Linked DNA regions of Diceros bicornis minor. The protein of the gene in region 1 interacts with the protein of each later gene in a pairwise test. Links are inferred from orthologs where the notes say so. Each region holds a gene or a part of one and is shown in the gene's direction. Other genes may lie near its edges.

The links.
Region 2: the proteins of KLHL2 (region 1) and BCAM interact in binary tests that used the Homo sapiens proteins (3 or more experiments, as listed by UniProt). The two-hybrid records come from large-scale screens. The link is inferred for Diceros bicornis minor from reciprocal best matches to the Homo sapiens genes KLHL2 and BCAM.

What each region holds. Positions count from the first base shown.
Region 1 is NC_080750.1:52,255,903-52,264,739, forward strand, and holds the start of KLHL2 (kelch-like protein 2), read left to right. Parts: upstream 1-4,870; 5' UTR 4,871-5,119; coding exon 5,120-5,145; intron 5,146-8,837. UniProt on the Homo sapiens protein: Substrate-specific adapter of a BCR (BTB-CUL3-RBX1) E3 ubiquitin ligase complex that mediates the ubiquitination of target proteins, such as NPTXR, WNK1, WNK3 and WNK4, leading most often to their proteasomal degradation.
Region 2 is NC_080773.1:19,161,907-19,170,965, forward strand, and holds the start of BCAM (basal cell adhesion molecule), read left to right. Parts: upstream 1-5,752; 5' UTR 5,753-5,971; coding exon 5,972-6,152; intron 6,153-6,503; coding exon 6,504-6,625; intron 6,626-7,223; coding exon 7,224-7,452; intron 7,453-7,536; coding exon 7,537-7,607; intron 7,608-8,055; coding exon 8,056-8,152; intron 8,153-8,235; coding exon 8,236-8,418; intron 8,419-8,921; coding exon 8,922-9,058; intron 9,059-9,059. UniProt on the Homo sapiens protein: Transmembrane glycoprotein that functions as both a receptor and an adhesion molecule playing a crucial role in cell adhesion, motility, migration and invasion.

The sequences.
Region 1 (8,837 bases):
TTATCAAGAATTTTTAATTCCTTTTTCCTCTCCCCAGCATTGCTGACTCTGTAGAAAGATGTTTAGTCCTAGATAATTCTACAATGAGGTATTACATCACCAGACTACATAAATAGATACCATATAACTATATGCAAGTAAAAATAAATTTCCTTTTCTTAAAAAAGCACAGAGAAACTGCTTACCTGATATACATTAGCGTGAAGCCTATTTTTGGATACTTCCTGTACCTATTGCAACAGATTTCCAATTAGACTTTGCAGCAAACAATTTGCTTTAATTTCTCCAGGAACCTCCAATACAGGATAACGGGCAGGTGTGCTGTGTTGGAAGTAAGGTTGGTACCTTAAAGACTATGAAAACAAGGAAGCAAGCATTTGTAGAGTAAACTGGACTCAGAAATGAAAGACTCCTTCAATTAAAGATTTTCTGTTGGTCTCGAGCAGAAGGCTCACATCACCCCATTTAACACCACAAAGCCTGTAATAAATACCTTCATGTATTGACAAATCCATTTGCTAAACAGCAAAGTCTCACAAGAATACTTTGAAATGTTTCATAATATATTACATACCCTAAGCTGCTTCCAAATCAAAAGAATAAAAGCAAAAACTCTAATTTAAAATTAGAAAAACAAGTCAAGTAATGTATTTTAGACTAACTCTTTGAGACAGAAAATAAGACTTTTTAGAAGTTCATCTTCTTTAGCATCCTATTTTTGAATGAGGGACACTTTTTACACTTGTTCTCTTTACACTGGAAGGAATTACAAAAACAGGATCTTATAGTTTTATACTCTTTGGTGAAATTAAGTCTTTTCTTTACAAGAGCAATTCTCAGTTCCCAGATTCTCGCCATGTGATGTGTTTGTGCCTGCCATGTCATGTCATTAGTTCTACTGCAACATCTGATTTCAACTCAATCGAAGTAATTTTTGCCACCAGTGACTGTCGTGGACTTATTCCTCTGCACGTTTCCATCTTCATTACAATTGATGTATTCTGATCACTTACATTAGCTTTAGGTTATGGTTACTAATACAGTTAAGGAATTGTTCTATTTCAACAGTGTAACAAATGCATGGACTTTTGTAAGATCTCACCTCTCTGTGGGGAGTGAAGAATTCATCCACAGAATAATCAATAGATGGGTGGAGCTAGTAACCTAAGCAAGGAGAGGTCAAACACCTCTGCATACCCGGTCAGTTCTTATGCCAAGGGAAATGGAAACGAGAAGTCCTTGGTGATCTTGGGTAGGTACTCCTAATCCTTTGTGAACTTTACTTAAGAAAATGGTGAAACTGGCAAACAAAGGAAGACATATTAAAAGTTTTTTCCCCATAGTAGTGATGGATTTGTGTCCATCAAACATTTTTGTTTACTTTTCTTGTGAATAGTGAGACAGAGTTAAGCGTTGAGACTGCATCTGGCCGAGGACCAGTTCTGTGAGGTTCCTTGGCCCACACAAAGATGAAAATGGAAACTTTGGCCTCTTAAATTGCTACCGATCTTAGGCAGGTCCGCTAATGTCTGAAAGCCAAGGGTCCCATCATTGTCTCTTTAGAAAACAACAAAGGTTCAGTGCTGATTAACTAATATTTTCAAATTGCTTCAAGATTCTTAGATGAGATGCTTGATTAAATCTGAGCCTAATCGAAATTCCAGGGTCTGAGTCGTGGGTTCAGCTCTTCCTCTTCTCTGCAGGGAATGGGGTCCAAGACAGAGACTTGGATTAGGAACATAGACTGTCTTCAAATCTACCTGGTGGCCACCACACTAGGATACTAGAGCTGTGGGCTGACACTGAATTCTTAGCAAGCTGTGGGTAAAAAAATACTCTTTTTTTTTCTACGGCCTCTTTTCTACAGTCCACTTGTAAAGCCTACAAATTTAGGGATGGGTGTGGAAAAGAAAAGGTTTGGTTAGACATTTAGCATGCTAGATAACCAGGATCCCTTAAGAAGCAGAGAACTGTAACAGATAAAACGAATCTAGAGGAAGATGTGAAACGGGCTATGGTTTGGAGTTGTGTGTCCATTTGTCAGATTGATACATCCTCACATTTTAGTATTTACTTGTATAGATAACACTATTTTACTTTCTGTACTTGTACATGTAACACTAAGTTACAAAAGCAATAGAAGGGTTTTTTGCTTTTTTCCAAAAGAACTCCTAAAATGGCTAATCAAACAGCCCTGCTCACTCAACTTGCATGCAGAAGAAGGAAGTCAGGCCAAAGGTTTGGTCAAACCTAAGTTAGCGTGTATCTCTTGGGTCCAGCACTTAACCTCAACTCCTAGCTGAGTTAGGTATAACTGATGGTCATGGAAATGTGTAGAAATAATAATAGCAATTAACATTTATTCAGTGCTTCCATTATACACTTACTGCTATTTGCTTCATATAGATTATTTCATCTAGGTCTTATAACAACTTCATATAAAGTAGGAAGTTTTATTATGGATCTGAACTAATCCAACAATAACACTAGAGAAATAACTCATCATATATGCCCTACTCATGGTGGATCAATAACGCCATGAGGTTACAGAGAGGATAGCTCGTGCTAAGGCATACTAAGTTATTGCCTTTTCCCGGAACATTTCACTAGGCTACCAAGACACTTCTCCTGCTCCTTCTGTCTCCTTTGCTGAATCCTCTTCATCTTACCGGCTTAATGTTGGAGTGCCCCAGGGCTCACTTCTTGGTCCTCCTCTTTTCTCTAGCTACATTATCTAGTTGATCTCAACCAGTCCCATGATTTTAAATACCATGTATATGCTCACAACCTCCACACTATGTTCACCCCAGATACATATATCTAGTTGTCTACACCTATTTTCACGTGGATATTTAACAGACGCCTCAATCTTACCACGTCTAAATCAGAGACTACAAATACTCCCCTCTCCCCGCCAGATCTGTTTCTTTTCTATCCCCTCAATTTCAGTAAATGGCAATTCCACTCTCCCAAGAGCCTAGACCAAAACACTTGGGGTCATCTTTGACTCGGCTCTTTCTCTTATACTCACATCTAATCTATCAGCAATTCCTGCGTGCTTTATCTTCTAAATAGAATCAGAATCTGACCACTTCTCTCCATCACTCTGACTTTAGTCCAGGCCATCCTTATTTTTCATCCCAGCTAGGCTAATCTCCTTGCTGGCTCTCCTGCTTCCCTTCATATATTGTTCCTATAGCAACCAGTCATCTTTTTTAAAAAAAATTTTTTTAACCTTTTAAAACTTACACATAAATACACATAAATGATGACCACCTTCATGTACCCATCACTCAGCATCAAAAACTAACATTTTGCCCATCTTCTTCCTTCTATTCCCCATCCTCTCTTTTTTGGTGGAGTATTCTTTTTTTCTTTTTGAGGAAGACTGGCCCTGAGCTAACATCTGTTGCCAATCTTCCCCTTTTTCTTATTTCTCCCCAAAGCCCCAGTACATAGTTGTATATCCTAGTTATAGGTCCTTTTAGTTCTTCTATGTGGGACACCACCTCAGCACGGCTTCATGAGTGGTGAGTAGGTCCGCGCCCAGGAACCAAACCGCGAACGCCCAACCAAAGCTGACAGCGAGAACTTATCGGCTGTGCCACTGGGCTGGAGCCTGGTGGAGTATTTTAAAACAAATCCCAGCCAAGTCCTCCTTTTAATTATCTGATTAAGCTGCTCATGACTTTCTAGTTGCTTATCTTCTCAGCAAAAGCCAAATCCCTTATGATGACCTACAAGGCCTATGTGATGTCACTACTCCCCCCCATCTCAGCTCACTATATCCTCTCCTCACTCTGCTTCAGCTACACCAGAGGTTCTCAACCTTAGCATCATCTGGAGGGCTTGTCACAGCAACACTGCTGGGCCCCACCCTCAGAGTTTCTGATTCATTAGATTTGAAGCAGGCCTGGAGAATCTGCATTTCTAACAAAGTCCCAGATGCTACTGCTGTCCAGTGGGCATACTTGGAGAACCACCAGCTACACTGTTCTCCTTCCTGTTCCTCAACAAGCCAGGCAAGATTTTGCATAAGCGTCCCTGCACTACTCTTCCCTTGCCCTGAGAACTCTCTGCTTTACTCAAGATTCATTTTATGCCATCTCTGTGTAAATGACTTCATTTGAGAGGCCTTCCCTGACCATTCCTAAAATAGCAGCCCATCTCCTCACCCTGATTTTCCTCATTGCAGGCATCGTTCGTTTATAGTTTCTTAGCCCGTCTAGATCGACAGCTGCACAAGTAGAGACCTGGTTTTGCTCTCTATCCTCCACCCAGTACCAAAACCTTGCCTACTAGGTGCTCACTTCACTTGTCCAACAAACGGATCACATACTGAGGAGGGAGGCCCAGGTTCTTGCTTGGGACACGGGCCAGGCAAATTCATTTCTTCTTGCCTCAGTTTCACCATTTGTAGAGGAAGTGGTTGGTTCTGCCTACCCTTCCCATCTCCCTGGGCACAGGCTCAAATCTAAGAGAATAATGTGAACACGCTTGTGAAGCAGAGCAATAAGTCAACGCGAGCGCGACTGCTGTGCTTTCGGGCGCCCTCTTCCCGCACAGACAGCACCCCTTCCCATTTTCTAGCTCCCCCGCCCGGGTGACCCACAGTCCCCGCCGCGGGCGGCCGTCGCCCCCGTCCCGCCGCGCCGCCCGCGTCTGGACGCGCCCGCCCGCCTCCAGCAGCAACAGCAGCCTGAGCCTGAGCCTGAGCGGCGGCAGCAGAGAAAGAGGGAGGCGCCGAGGGAGGGGTCCCGGGCCGCCGCGGGAGGCCGCAGCGCCGTCCGGTCACGGCGTCGGCGCCGGCCGGGGCCGAACCCGGAAGTGGCTGAGCCGGCGCGCCCGTCCGTCCCGCCGCCGCTGCTGCCGCCGCCGCCGCCGCCCCGCACTCGGGCGAGCGCGGGAGCCGCGCAGGCACACGGAGCGCGCCCGGCCGAGCGGGCCATGGCCGCGGGGGCCGCCGCCGCGGCTGGTGGCGCGCGGTGAGGCGAGCGCGGCGCCCCCCCCGGGGCGGATGGAACGCGGCTCGGCGGGCGGGCAGTGCCGGCGTCCGCGGCTGGAATGGTGCTGGCGGCGGCGGTCGGTGCCTGCGTTCTGAAGCCCGAGAGGAGCCACAATGGAGACGCCGCCGCTGCCTCCCGCGTGAGTGAGCGGCCGGGCGGGCTGTGCCGCTGCGGCGCTTGTCGCCGGCCGTGGGCGCTGCTCGGGGACGGCCGCCCGGTGCCCGCCGGCGGAGGACGCCCGGAGCCACCGGGGGCGGCGGGAGGTGGGAGCTGCGGGGCGTGACGAGGCGCGGTTCCCGCAGTCCTGAGGCGGACGCGGACGGAAACTCAGCCTGGCCAGGCAGCGACTTAAAACGCTGCCCATGATTTCCAGGAAGGGTCTGCCCCATCCCAGGCGAATAGAAGCTTCGGGATGGGCTGTGCTTGGGCACTCTGTCCTGTGTGTACCCCTCTGAAATGCATGGGCTGCTGGTGCCCAGCTTGTCCACCCCTTTCTAAGGGATGGAGATATGGTGCACGGGAGTCTGTTGGAAAAAAAAAGCAGCTGGAAAGTACTAGACGCCCGGTGTCTATATGAATTGATTTTACGTTGCTTGCTTCTCCGAATTTCTAGCAAAATTAATATCCGAAGCTTTTACATCACTCTAAATGAGCCGCGGCTGTTCAGGGCATGTGACCTCTTTTACCTGGCACTGCAGAAAATTGTGTCCAGAAATCAGAGCATCTTATGTTTCCTTGGTACCCTGGGCACATTAGGAGTATAGCGACTTGCCAGGCACAGGTGGCTTTTCCTTGGTACCCACATACCTTCAAGATCACCTGCAACAAAATTACCCTCCAGAAATAATAACAGCTGAATTTTGTGGGAGATATTGAAAATTTACATTATTCAGTGCAATATATTTTTTTTTAGTATTTGGTAAAAGTGGGCTATAAATCCCCAGGAGTTTTGACAATTTCAATTTTGATTGGCTTTTCTTAGTTTAACCTTTATGAAGGAACGAGAGCCCTTTGCATCTGACTTTTCAGACCGTGAACAAACCTCATTCTGAAGAGTGGTGTACCTTTTCGCGAGAGCTTATTCATGGAGCTTTATCCTTTTTCACTTGGATTTGGCCAGCTTCAGTCCATGGCAGTTGTACTGCACCAGCCTCTTGTGGTTGTTTGGCGGGATTCCAGCCAAAATATGGATATTTGGCTTGGGTGGAATAATTTTTTGATGTTGGGTCCTTTTAGGAGAGCTAATAGGATCCTGGGAACTACATTTTCCAAAAGTGCCTTACAGAATTTTTAGCTTGAGTGGAACAGGTCATGGGGCTCTAAGGAGTAGATGATAAGACTCTTGAATTGATCGTCCTGGGCTGGTAGAAGCAAGGGGCTCAGTTGCTTTGTGATTGCTGTGGCCTTGAGGGCTTTGTGATCTGGTCTGGTTCTTCAGCAGGTTCGGGAAGGCTCCTGAACCCCTAGGAAACGTGATGGTGGATTGTTAGCATCAGCAGCCTGAGCACAGCACAGCACAGGAGTTCAGTCCAGGCTCAGAGGCACTGAAGACAGGAAATGCTACCTGTATATAGACAGCACATAGTGTATAGAATATACCAGGTAGGCATGTTATCTATGGTAAACCTGCCCCCTTGTTATCAGTTCTCTGCAGTCTCTTTTTACTTTGGGAGCAGAGGGAACTAAAGCAAAGAACAAGGGGATCTTAGAATGCAGGTGAAAAAAAGGTGTGGGAAAGCAGGCTCTGGAGGGAGGGCGTAGAGACATAGAAAATGATTTAAATGGAAATAATTAAAAGTGAAATAGATGTGTGCATGCAAATATTGATAAACTGAATCTTGGACAGATCAACTAATCATGATTTTGGCGTCTAGCACAATTCTTTGGTATTGATACTCCATCAATAATGCTGAAACAATGACAGGCTGAGATGTACTGGAAAGCGTGGAATGCCAGCAGGCAGAAAAGAATTGTTAAAACTTCTTTTAATTGTGGGTGGCTAAAGATGGTGAGACTTTTTATTGTTTCTGTTCATTTAATAATAAATACAAATAAGTTTTATTTTCCTTTGGTCTGTCTAGGATTAACTCTTATTCCAGAGCTCTTTGGAGCGTCACTTACCTTTCTGTAGATCAGAAATAGTTTTCCCTGCCACCCCTCGGCCTGTTTGCCTCCACTCCCATGAACTTGTGTTTTCCTTCCACCTGAATCATGGGGGCCGGATTTGAGAAATGCAGGCAGTGTCTTTGGGAAGCAACATCATTGGACCTCACTGGGCTAGAGCTGGGCGAGGACAGAGGCCAGTGGAAGTTATTGGGAGGGCTCAGCTTTTCATAAGGTTAGATTTTTAGCCTGAGCTTTAAGGCAAAGAAAAATGTTTGATGTGGCCTTAAAGTGCCTTGGATGATGTGATTGGAAGCAGGGACTCAGATCCTCTTTGTGCGAGTGTCTGTTTATTAATTCATTAATTCTGCAAATATTTGAATGCCTGTCTGTGCCTGGCGCTGTGTGTGGTGCTCTTGGCGTATGCTTCTTTTTTAACAGCCCGTTTTACTTTGTTTTCAAGTCTCACTTTGCTCCCCTTCAGCCTATTAGCTTATTGTCTTGGAGGGATAGAGGCGACTGTGCCCCCGCTCCCTAGTTCCTTCAGGATGGGCTCGTTGAAATTAGGTTTTGATCTCTTGTGCTCTTTCCACTCCTTGCCTCCAAGTTCTCCTCATCCTTTTTAATTCTCATATTGATTGTCATTGGGCATCATAGCTCTGCTTATTGTTTTTTTTGCATCTTATATGTGGCATTTAGATTCTGTTGCATTTTAGGGTCTGGGTAACAAATGTCGTGGGACGTTTGCCTCCGATCCAACCTAAAAGGTGTACAACTAAGAATTAGATGTCGAGTAGTAAAGGAATTTCAGGCAGTAAACTGAGATATGCAAAAGGAAATGTAAATTGATCAGCCCTGACCTCAGAAATGTTTTACACATTCTAGCTTTTATAGTTATTTATGTAAAGGATTTTCATCATGATTAAGTTGAGGGAAGCCTATGAGGTATAGGATGAAGTTCATCCCTTTCACCACCCCTCACTCAACAGTTCTCTTGGCCCTTGTTTTCTTACTGGCTTCTCTTTCATGAGTTGGCTTTCTCGCTACAGGCCTTAATTTTTTGCTTTTCCTTCACAAAACTAAGTAAACATGCCTCAGAAACAACCATATCTTTTTTCAGTTGATGATTCCGCATCACTGGAGACTCTTGTCATCGGAGTTGTTCAGGCATCAGCAGACAAACATCGTGTGGACCGTGTTCTAAGGGATTCAGGTGGCACAAGATTGGTTGTATTAGAGCAGAGGTTCTCAGATTTTTGGATTTCAAGAACCTGTAAAATTAAAAAAAAATTAAAGTCCAACATAGAATTGCTAAGTTTTTTGTTTTGCCAAGTAAAAAAAAAAAATTGATAACGTAATAATTATCAAAGATGTTACCATATTTTTGTAAAAGAAAGCCCATTTTAATATCCCTCCCCAAATACAAAGGACATACTCTCAGACTAAAGGCTAATCCTTAAATTCAAGTAATTTAGTTATATGAAAACTTACTACATTGTCCTCGTTTTGTCACAGACCAGTAAAAAGTTTAATGAGGCCTGACATTTGCAATCCACTGGACCAGATAACCTTTAGTGTTCTAAGTCTAAGATTCAATTACTATGAATTTGGAACTTTTCCGTGGGTTACCCCAATATTCATTTGTTTGTCTTTTCTAGCCCATTAGAACGTATTCTTGTTTTTGTGTAACTAGTCATAAATGTAAATTGGGCATCTCTCAGCTCATAG
Region 2 (9,059 bases), on another chromosome or scaffold:
GGTCAGAGAGCCAAGAGTGGGGACCCAGCTCCTTCGGATCCAGAGTCCAGGCCCCCAGACGCCTCCTCTCTCAGATCCAAAAGTCCCACCTTCTGGGCTTAGGAGTCCAGAGTCCCAAGCTCTCAGAGAATCAGGCATCCAACAACCTCTCCCCATCATGGCAAAAATATTCTTGGACTCAGACCCAGGTATCCAAGTTCTAAGTCCCCCGGTCAAAGAGTCCCCACATTTCCTTGAGGGTTAGGTGCCCAGTCTTGCCATACTCTGCTCTCGTCCCTCTCTCTCTCCTCCATTCCTCTCTGGGATCTTCTCCCAGAGTGATGGTGACTTCCAGTCAAAATCAAGCGAGAAAGTGTCTCCCCACCTCCTCGCTAATCCCAGAGGGACCCAAGCCTCCCTCCACTTGATTTAAACCAGTTGGCATCCCTTAGGCCCCCTGTGCCCTGGGCTGGGCAACGCTAGGCATTTGGTAGTGATCACTGCCCTCGTGGGGCTCACAGTCCAGTGCAGGAGACAGACCTGTCCCCAGACAGTGACAATCCAGAGTGGGCAGAGCTGGGATGGGGGACCCCAGGGGGCTGCTGGAGCGCAGAGCGGGCAGTTGACCCAGGCTGAGAGGTCAGGGAGGGCTTCCCGGAGGAGGGGATGTGCAGGCTGAGACTGAAGAGGTAAGGAAAGGTAAATGGAGCATGGAAGCATGCATCACAGATTTAGTTCCAAGCAACAGAAGCCGCCCCTGGGGCAAAAAGGAAATTGATTGAGAAGGTTTGGGATCGCTCATAAAATCCCAGGAGTGATTAGAGAACCAGGATTGGAAAGTGATCAAGAGCGCTGGCAGCCAGCCTCCAACCACAGCCCAGCCACGATCACGCCACAGAACCGGTCTGATGAGGATACGCTGGTGCTCCGATGACCACTGGACACTCGTTGTCTTGCTGCCTCGGCTACCCCAGAAACAGGCTGTGTCTGCTAGCTGTTGCTCCAACAAATCCCACCAAGACTTATTGGGGAACAACAGCAATCATGTTAATATCCCTCGTGGTTGCTGGGGGCCAGGATTTGGGGAAGGGCTCAGTTGGGTGGTTCTGGCTCAGGGTGCAATCAAATAGTGTGATCAAGTGGTCCTTGGAGCTGGGCAGCTGGGGGCAGGACAGGTGTCCCTCTGCAGACCTCTCCGTAGGGTCTCCACACTTGCTGATTTGGGCTTCCCCACAGTGTGGCTGCCTCAAGGTAGTCAGACTGCTTAGATGGTGGCTGAAGTCTTTTTGGAGAGAATTCCCATGACCTAGACAGAAGCTACATGGATTTTTCTACCTAATCTGGGGAGTCATGCAGTGTCACTTCTGCCACGTTGGTTACATGCGAGTCACAAAACCGCACAGATTTAAGAGGAGGAGACATAGACCCCACCTCTTGGGGGAAAGAGTGTCACGATCAGATTGCAGAAGAGCCTGTGGAATGAGAGATCTTGTAGCTGTCATCTTGGGAAAATAGAATGCATCCCGGCTGCTATAGTGGGAACAGATTAGCCAGTTCTTGCTTCTTTGGGATTATTAGCTCCCAGTTCCAAAGTATAGCAGAATTGGCCAAGCGTAGGTCACCTTAGCTCCAACAGAGGCAGGAAAGCAAACATCTGTCCTTGTTGGCTTCAACAGAGGGCAGCAGGCTTTCAGACACCAGGGATGTTTCTAAATGTGGGAAAGGCGCGTGGATGCTACCTTACCCTCCCCCGCAAAAAAGGCTGCTCCGGTCCTCCCCTTTGAATGCTCAACATCAGTACATATCTTTGTCCTATACTACATTCTTTTCCCCCAAAAGTTCTTATCTAAACTCTCCCTGCACAACTAACTGGTAAACCAAAAATGCATTCACACCGCCCCCCAAGACAACACAAAGTCTCAACGGTTACATTTTCCAGATGTAAGTCTGGAACCATTGGGAAATAGCCAGTCCCCTCGAGATGTGTCGCGAGCCCCATATCCCACACGCTGTGAACTAGCTTTAAAGTGAACCGTCACACGCTGTATGTAAAACAATGGGATGCAGGTGGGGAAAGAGGAGGCTTGTTAATGGAAACGTACAAGGATATACACAGGAGACAGCAAGGATGGAATTGGAGAGTTCATTCATTTCCTTTTTACTCAGCTCCTCCTATGCCAAGCACTGTTCTAGGCACTGGAGATACAGTGAACAAAACCACAGAGCTTAGCTTCTGTGCCAGACAAACAATAAAAAATAGATCTGTGGCAGTGGTAAGTGCTGCAGAGGAAAAACGTAGTAAGATAAGGGAAATGAGGCGTGGCTGGGATGGTCAAAGAAAGCTCTGATGATGTGATGTTGGGGTAGAGATTTGAAGCAAGGGAGGGAGGGAGATTCCCAGCAGAGAGGAGAGGAAGCGCAAAGGCCTGGAGGCTGGAACAGGCCTGGCATTGGAGGAACAGCATGGAAGCAAAGAGACCAATGTGGCAAGAGTAGAGCTATCGAAGGGGAAGAGAGGAAGATGGGGTCAGGGCGGTGACGAGGACCACATGGAGGACCTTGTGAGCCGTGAAGAGGATTTCGCTTTTACTCTGAGTGAGAGGAGCCGTGGGAGGATTCTGAGCAGAAGAGTAACGTGAGTTGAGTCACATTTGAACAGGATCCCTCTGCCTGTTTCCTAGGAATAAACTGCAGGGGACAAGGGCAGAGGATGTTACGGGACTAGTTTCTGCAGGTCTGTGAGGGACCGTGGCTGATATCTATGACTTCCCTCCTTCACCCACAATCCGTATGGTCCTCTCCCAACTAGAACCTCAGCTGGTTGGGTTCTTGAGGAAGGTGGAAGACGGGTGGCTGAGAAGAGGGCACCTGCCAGGGTCCGGCCCCATCAGTAGGCACGGAAGAGCTGGGGGGTGGGTGTCTGGGGTCGCAGTGTGGCGGCTTGTCCCAGGGAGCGTGTGGGGCTGTGTAGGAGTGCGACTGCCGTTGTCCCAGAGTGAGCTGGGATCGTGTGTCCTGTGACAGGGGGAGGGAGATCTGTTCCCAGTTAGAGATGACCCAGAGTCATCTCTGGGTTGGGCTGGGGTGGTGGAGCCCAGAGGGGTGCCTGGCCCAGCCTAGGGAAGCAGGGAGGGTGTCCTGGAAGAGGGGATGGTGCGGCTAATACTCAAAGATCACCTCCCCCAGTGTAATAGTTGCTCTCCTGTATCACCGATGGATAAATTGATTTGACAAGTCTGACCAATAACTTCCAGGCTGACCTATAATCTAAACCTTCCCTCTGTGTCTGATGGGCAAGGCCCAGTCTTACCAGTGACCCCCAAGTCTGATCAGAGGCCTGGGGAACCTCTCCCAGCAGGATCAGCTACCCCTCATTCTGACCAGTGTCCAGGGCTAGCTTCTCTCCGGTAACCAGTGACATCTCCCTCCCCCAGCAAGCCCCTGGCCGGCAGTCTGGGGATTTTGTCCTAGTCAGACCCGGCTTGTGAGAAGCCTCAGGCAGTCTGACCTCTGACTCCCAGTCTGACCTGTGACCTTTTCTTCTGACCCATGGCCAAGCCCCTCCCCGTCCTCTCAGGTACCCAGGCCTTCTCCCCTCCCCCACTCACCTGCTTCTGCCAGCCGGATTTTCCTCCCCTCCCCCCAAAGTTGGGAGGGAGCGAAGGGGGGAGGGAAAGAGGAAGGGGGTGGCATTCCTGGGATTCTCTGGTTGAGGAGAAGAGAGGGAGGGCCCTACAGAGCAGAGCCAAGGAAAGAGCACCCCGCAGCCCCCCCATCATCACAAAGGCCTGGGCAGAGCTGGGGTTTGAAGACTATTAGATATAAGAGATTGAACTGGTGGGTTCCAGGCTACTGTTCAGACAGGAAAGGAGCCCAGAGCACTGGCCATAGGGGAGGGCCTCACAGGGCAAACTGGGAGAAGCTATTCTAGAGCACTGGGCAGGCTCACAGTTACTGGGTGGACTGGGAAAGCCCAACCCAAGCCACTGATTAGACTGGGGTTCACTGGTTATTCTGCAGGAGGCTCATTCACGCCACTGATCAGGCTGGGGGCCACTGGTTGTCCTGGGAGAGGCCAGTGCAGGTCACTGGTTAGACAGGGTTCAGCTGGGTAAAATCAACGAGGCAAGGGCAAGCCACTGGCCATAGTGTGAAGGAGTCTCCAAGGCCCCTGGTCAGAATGAGGGGGAGAAGGTCTCAGCTCGGGACACTGGCCGGACTGGTTGGTCAGGCCACTCGCCGCGGGCGCTGGTCAGCCTGAGCTGCCAGTCCAGGGCTCGAGGGCAGAGGCAGCCCGCTCCAGGCGGAGCGCTGGGAGGTCGGCTCCGGGCAGTGGGAGGTCCTGGCCGGGCGCCCGGGTTTGGGGTGACGAGGGGGGCCGGGCGGGCGCGGCGGGGCGGGGCTGCCGGGGGCGGGGCCTCCTCTCTCCCCGCCCGGGGCCGCCGGGGCCGCCGAGCCGCAGCCCGGGCTGAGTCGCCGCCGCCGCCGCCGCCGCCACCGCCGGGAACATGGAGCCCCCGGACGCGCGGGTCGGGGCGCGCGGGGCCCCGCGGCTGCTGGCGCTCGTGCTCTTGCTGGGGGCGCACGCAGGTACGGCTCGGCGGAGAGCGGGGCGCGACTGGGGGCGGGCCCTGGGGACCCCGAGAAGGGAAGGGGGAGGGGGCTCTCACCGCCCCCAGGAAGCCAATCCTGGGGAGCCCAGGGAGGAGGGATATGGGAACGTCCGGGGCACCCCTCCCCGTGAGAGACCTGTGGACAGCCAGGCAGAGTTGCTGGGGATACCACAGCAGTGGATTAGAGACCACCTGAGAAGTCAGAGCCCGCTCCCCACTCGGGACCCAGGAGTGCGAGCCCCAGCCCCTCCTCCCTCAGACCCCAGAATCCAGGCCCCCAGCCCCTCCTCCCTCAGACCCAGGGGTCCAGGCCTCCAGGGACTGGAGTGGCTTCCCCAGGACACAGGAGACCGAAACCTCAGGGCTCCCCCCATGGAAGATTCTCAAGTTTTGAGAGGATCAGGGACCCTCAGGCCAGAAGCCAGAGCGTCCCCTGCATTTGAGGGTTTACCCCATCTAGATGCAGAGCCCAGACTCTGAGGAACCTGCCTCCCTCAGGAAAGGGCTGGAGCGCTGGCCCTGGGCAGTGGCAGTGGAACAAAGTGTTTCCGAGTGACAGTGCGCCCTTCCTGGGGCCCCAGATAAACCCACACACCTGCGAGGTGCTGGGAGGGGAGGAGCCCTGAGGGGCTGGCAGCAGGGGGCCGGAGAGATGAGAGAGACTGGGGAAGAGAGGGGAGATCTCTCTGTGTGTCTTTGCTGCCTGCTGCTCAGACTCAGCCCCAGGCACCAGCCTGGCCCCACGCCCCCTCCCCTGGGACAAGCCTGGGCCAGAGGTGGGTGCCTGGGAATCCAGGCCCCTGGTACAAGCATGGCAAATAGTGGCTCCCCAGGGGAAGGGCTGGGCCAGGCTGGGCGGGGAAGGGAAGGGAGCTTCTGAGAACTGAGAGCTGATGCCCAGAGGGTGAGAGAGCGTGGTTTCTCCATGAGAACAGCTCTATCTGCCAGGATCCTGGGACCGAGTCAGGCCCAGCCGCCAATTCCCCCAGGACCCAGGAGCCTAGGCTTCCAGCTCCCTTCTCCTTCAGGACACAGTATCTGGGGCCTCCACCCTATCCTGTTCTGGGGTGACGCACCTTACCCCCTTCCCTCCTCTATCAAAGAGGCAGAAGGGCCAACGGGCGGGTAGGGGGCTCTGGCGCCAGGTCGGGCAGGTCTGAGCCAGCCTGTCCCTCCCACATTCCTGAAACCTGCCCAGCCCTGTCCCCCCTCGCCACCCCCACACACTCATCCCACCTCAGCTCCAGGCCCAGCCGCAGCCCACACCCCAGCCCAGCCCCTAACTCATGAGGGGGAGACCCAGGGGCCCAGAGAGATGGAGACTGAGAGTGATGGGCTGAGAGAGACACAGAGAGAGGCAGAGAGTGTGGGACTAAGAGATGGAGACCCACACGCAGGGTGAGAGACACGCACGCAGAGATGGCACCCAGGATGGACGAGAGAGACATTTATCCTACGTCACCCTGCCAGGCCCTGCCCAGGGTGCTGGAGGCAAACGGATGAGCCGGCCCTGGCCCTGCCCTGGAAGGGTGTTTGGTCTACTGGGGAAAGCAAGGACAGGTGCAATTTTACCCCAGGAGGATTGAATGGAGGCCACCAGGCCCTGTGTGGCCCAAGGGAGGAGCCCTTAGTTCTGCAAGTGAAGGGAGCTATGGAGAGAACTGCTGATGGGAGCTGAAGCCAGAGATGCAGAGATGAGAGATGGAGGGAGACAGGAGCTGAGCCTGAGGGAGGAGGGGCTGGGCGCCCGGACCCCCGGGTCTGAGGGAGGAGGAGGCTGGGGGCCCGGACCCCCGGGTCTGAGGGAGGAGGAGGCTGGGGGCCCCGACCCCCGGGTCCTGGGGAAGGCGGGGCTCTATCTGGAGGGCTGTCCCTATTGGTGGCAGTGAGAGCTCAGTTGCCCTCCCGCAGGTGTGGAGGCTGAGGTGCATGGGTCTGTGCCCTCCCTGGTGGAGGTAATGCGAGGGAAGTCAGCCACCCTGAACTGCACCGCGTTGGGGACGCACGACCATTTCGCGCTGGAATGGTTTCTGGTGAGTGCTGTGGGCTGGGGCCGGGGGTGGTGGAAGGGGCCCTGGGAGCAGGGTGCAGCGGGGCCACAAACATCTATTCCCTCGTCAGAGCCTGAAGGACCCTAAGAGCTCTGCAATCTGCCTTTCCATTTGACAGATGGGGAAACTGAGGCCCAGCAAAGGGAAGGGACTCTCCAGGGTCCCCTGGTGTCCGGGCACAGCTGAGACTAGAATGAAGAATTCCCTCTTCAGAGGGCTGGCTCTTCAGAGAGAACATTCAGAGACAGACACCAAGAAAGCAAGAGACCCAGGGGTCGGGACTAAAGAGAGAGACAGAGAAGAAGAGAAAATAAGAGGCAGAGAGAGACAGGGTGGGAGAGGGAGGCGGAGAGAGAGGAAGAGAGTTGGGGACAGAGTGAGATGGAGAGAGAGGGAGATGACAACAGATAGGGCACAGGGACAGGAGGGTGTGGAGAGGGGGACAGAGGGACCAGAGACAGGTAACAAGAGGAAAAGAGACAGACCCACAGAGCAGCAGAAAGAAAGGGGCATGAGAGAGACAGAGACACGGAGGAGGGTGGGCTGGGCAGCTCCGAGCTGAGGCCCTCCCCGCCGGCAGGCCGACCGCTCCGGGGCCCGCCACCGCCTGGCCTCGGCCGAGCTGCAGGGCTCTGAGCTCCAGGTCAGGATGCACGACTCCCGGGGCCGCAGCCCCCCGTACCAGCTGGACTCCCAGGGGCGCCTGGTGCTGGCCGACGCCCAGGTGGGCGACGAGCGGGACTATGTGTGCGTGGTGCAGGCGGGGGCAGCGGACACCGCCGAGGCCACCACCCAGCTCCGAGTGTTCGGTGAGTGTCCAAGGGCACCCCTGGAAGGGGCGGACAGGAGACAGCCTGGGGAAGGGGCTCCTGACTGTAACGTCTCCCCCACAGCAAAACCAGAGGCCACCGAGGTCTCCCCCAACAAAGGGATTCTATCTGTGATGGATGACTCTGCCCAGGAGGTACCTTGGGATGGGCCTTGATTCCAGGGTGCTGGGGAAGGTGGGAGCTGGGGGGCCCATAAGCCTGGATCCTAAGGTTGGAGGGGCCTGGACTCCTGCATCCTGGGGAGGAGGGGGCTGCGGGGCCCAGGATCCTGGATCCTAAGGTTGGAGGGGGCTGGGGGCCTGGACTCCTCCATCCTGGGGGAGGAGAGGCCTAGGGGACCTAGAATCCGGGAGCCTAAGGTTGGAGGGGCCTAGACTCCTGCATCCTGGGGAGGAGGGGGCTGGGGGCCTGGGTTTCTCAGTCTGAGGAGGGGCCCGGAGGTGTGGACTTCTGGGTCCTTGGGGAGCAGAGGGCTGGGAGCCCAGACTCCTGTATCTGAGTGGGGAGAACTTCTGAGGGAGGCAGGGACCCAGATTTCGGAGTCCTGGCTCAGAGCCCAGGGCCACGCCCGTTTCACCTCAGATCGCCACCTGCAACAGCCCCAACGGGAACCCGGCCCCCCAGATCACGTGGTATCGGAATGGGCAGCTCCTGGAGGTGCCCCTGGAGGTGAACTCAGGTGAGCGGCGCAGGAGCCTGGCCAGACGGGGGGCGGGGTGGGCTGGTGGCCCGGCCACTGACGGCCTCCTCCGTCTCCCCCAGAGGGCTACATGACCACCCGTACCGTGCGGGAGGCCTCGGGCCTGCTGTCCCTCACCAGCACCCTCTACCTGCGGCTCCGCAAGGCCGACCGGGACGCCAGCTTCCACTGCTCCGTGCGCCACCGCCTGCCCGCCGGCCGGCAGGGCCGCCTGGACAGCCCTGTCTTCCGCCTCACCCTGCACTGTGAGTCCCCGCCGGCCCTGACCTCCCGCCCCCCACTCCACGCCTCCCTGAGGCCCGGCCCTCCCCTCTGGCCCTCACGCTGAAATGTGTCTGACCTCTGACCTCTGACCTCAAATAGTAGCACAAGCCCCATCCTATGTCTGACCCCCGTAGCACCCTGAACCCCATGGAGTTTCATGACTAAACGTCATGAAACATCCCACCCTCTCACACTGAATTGGGTCCCCAAATCTCACACTGGCCTGTCATCCACACTGATTTCTGACCCTTGACCTGTACTCTCAGCTTATCTCAATCCTGCCCTCTGGTCCCTGATCTCAGAATAAGAGTGAACCTGAACCTTGAAAGATGTGACCTCTCCCCTTTGACCGACCGTGGTCCTCCCCTTTGCTGGTGGCGCTGGCCTCTCTCCCTTAATCCGGCCCCGCCTTTTACCCTTGACCTGACCTACCCTGGACCCTGATGGTGAGTCTGCCCTGACCCGCTCCCGCCCTTTCTCTTAGATCCCACGGAGCACGTGCAGTTCTGGGTGGGCAGCCCAGCCACCACGGAGGGCTGGGTCCGCGAGGGTGACTCTGTCCAGCTGTTCTGCCGGGGGGACGGCAGCCCCAGCCCGGAGTACACCTTCTTCCGCCTCCAGG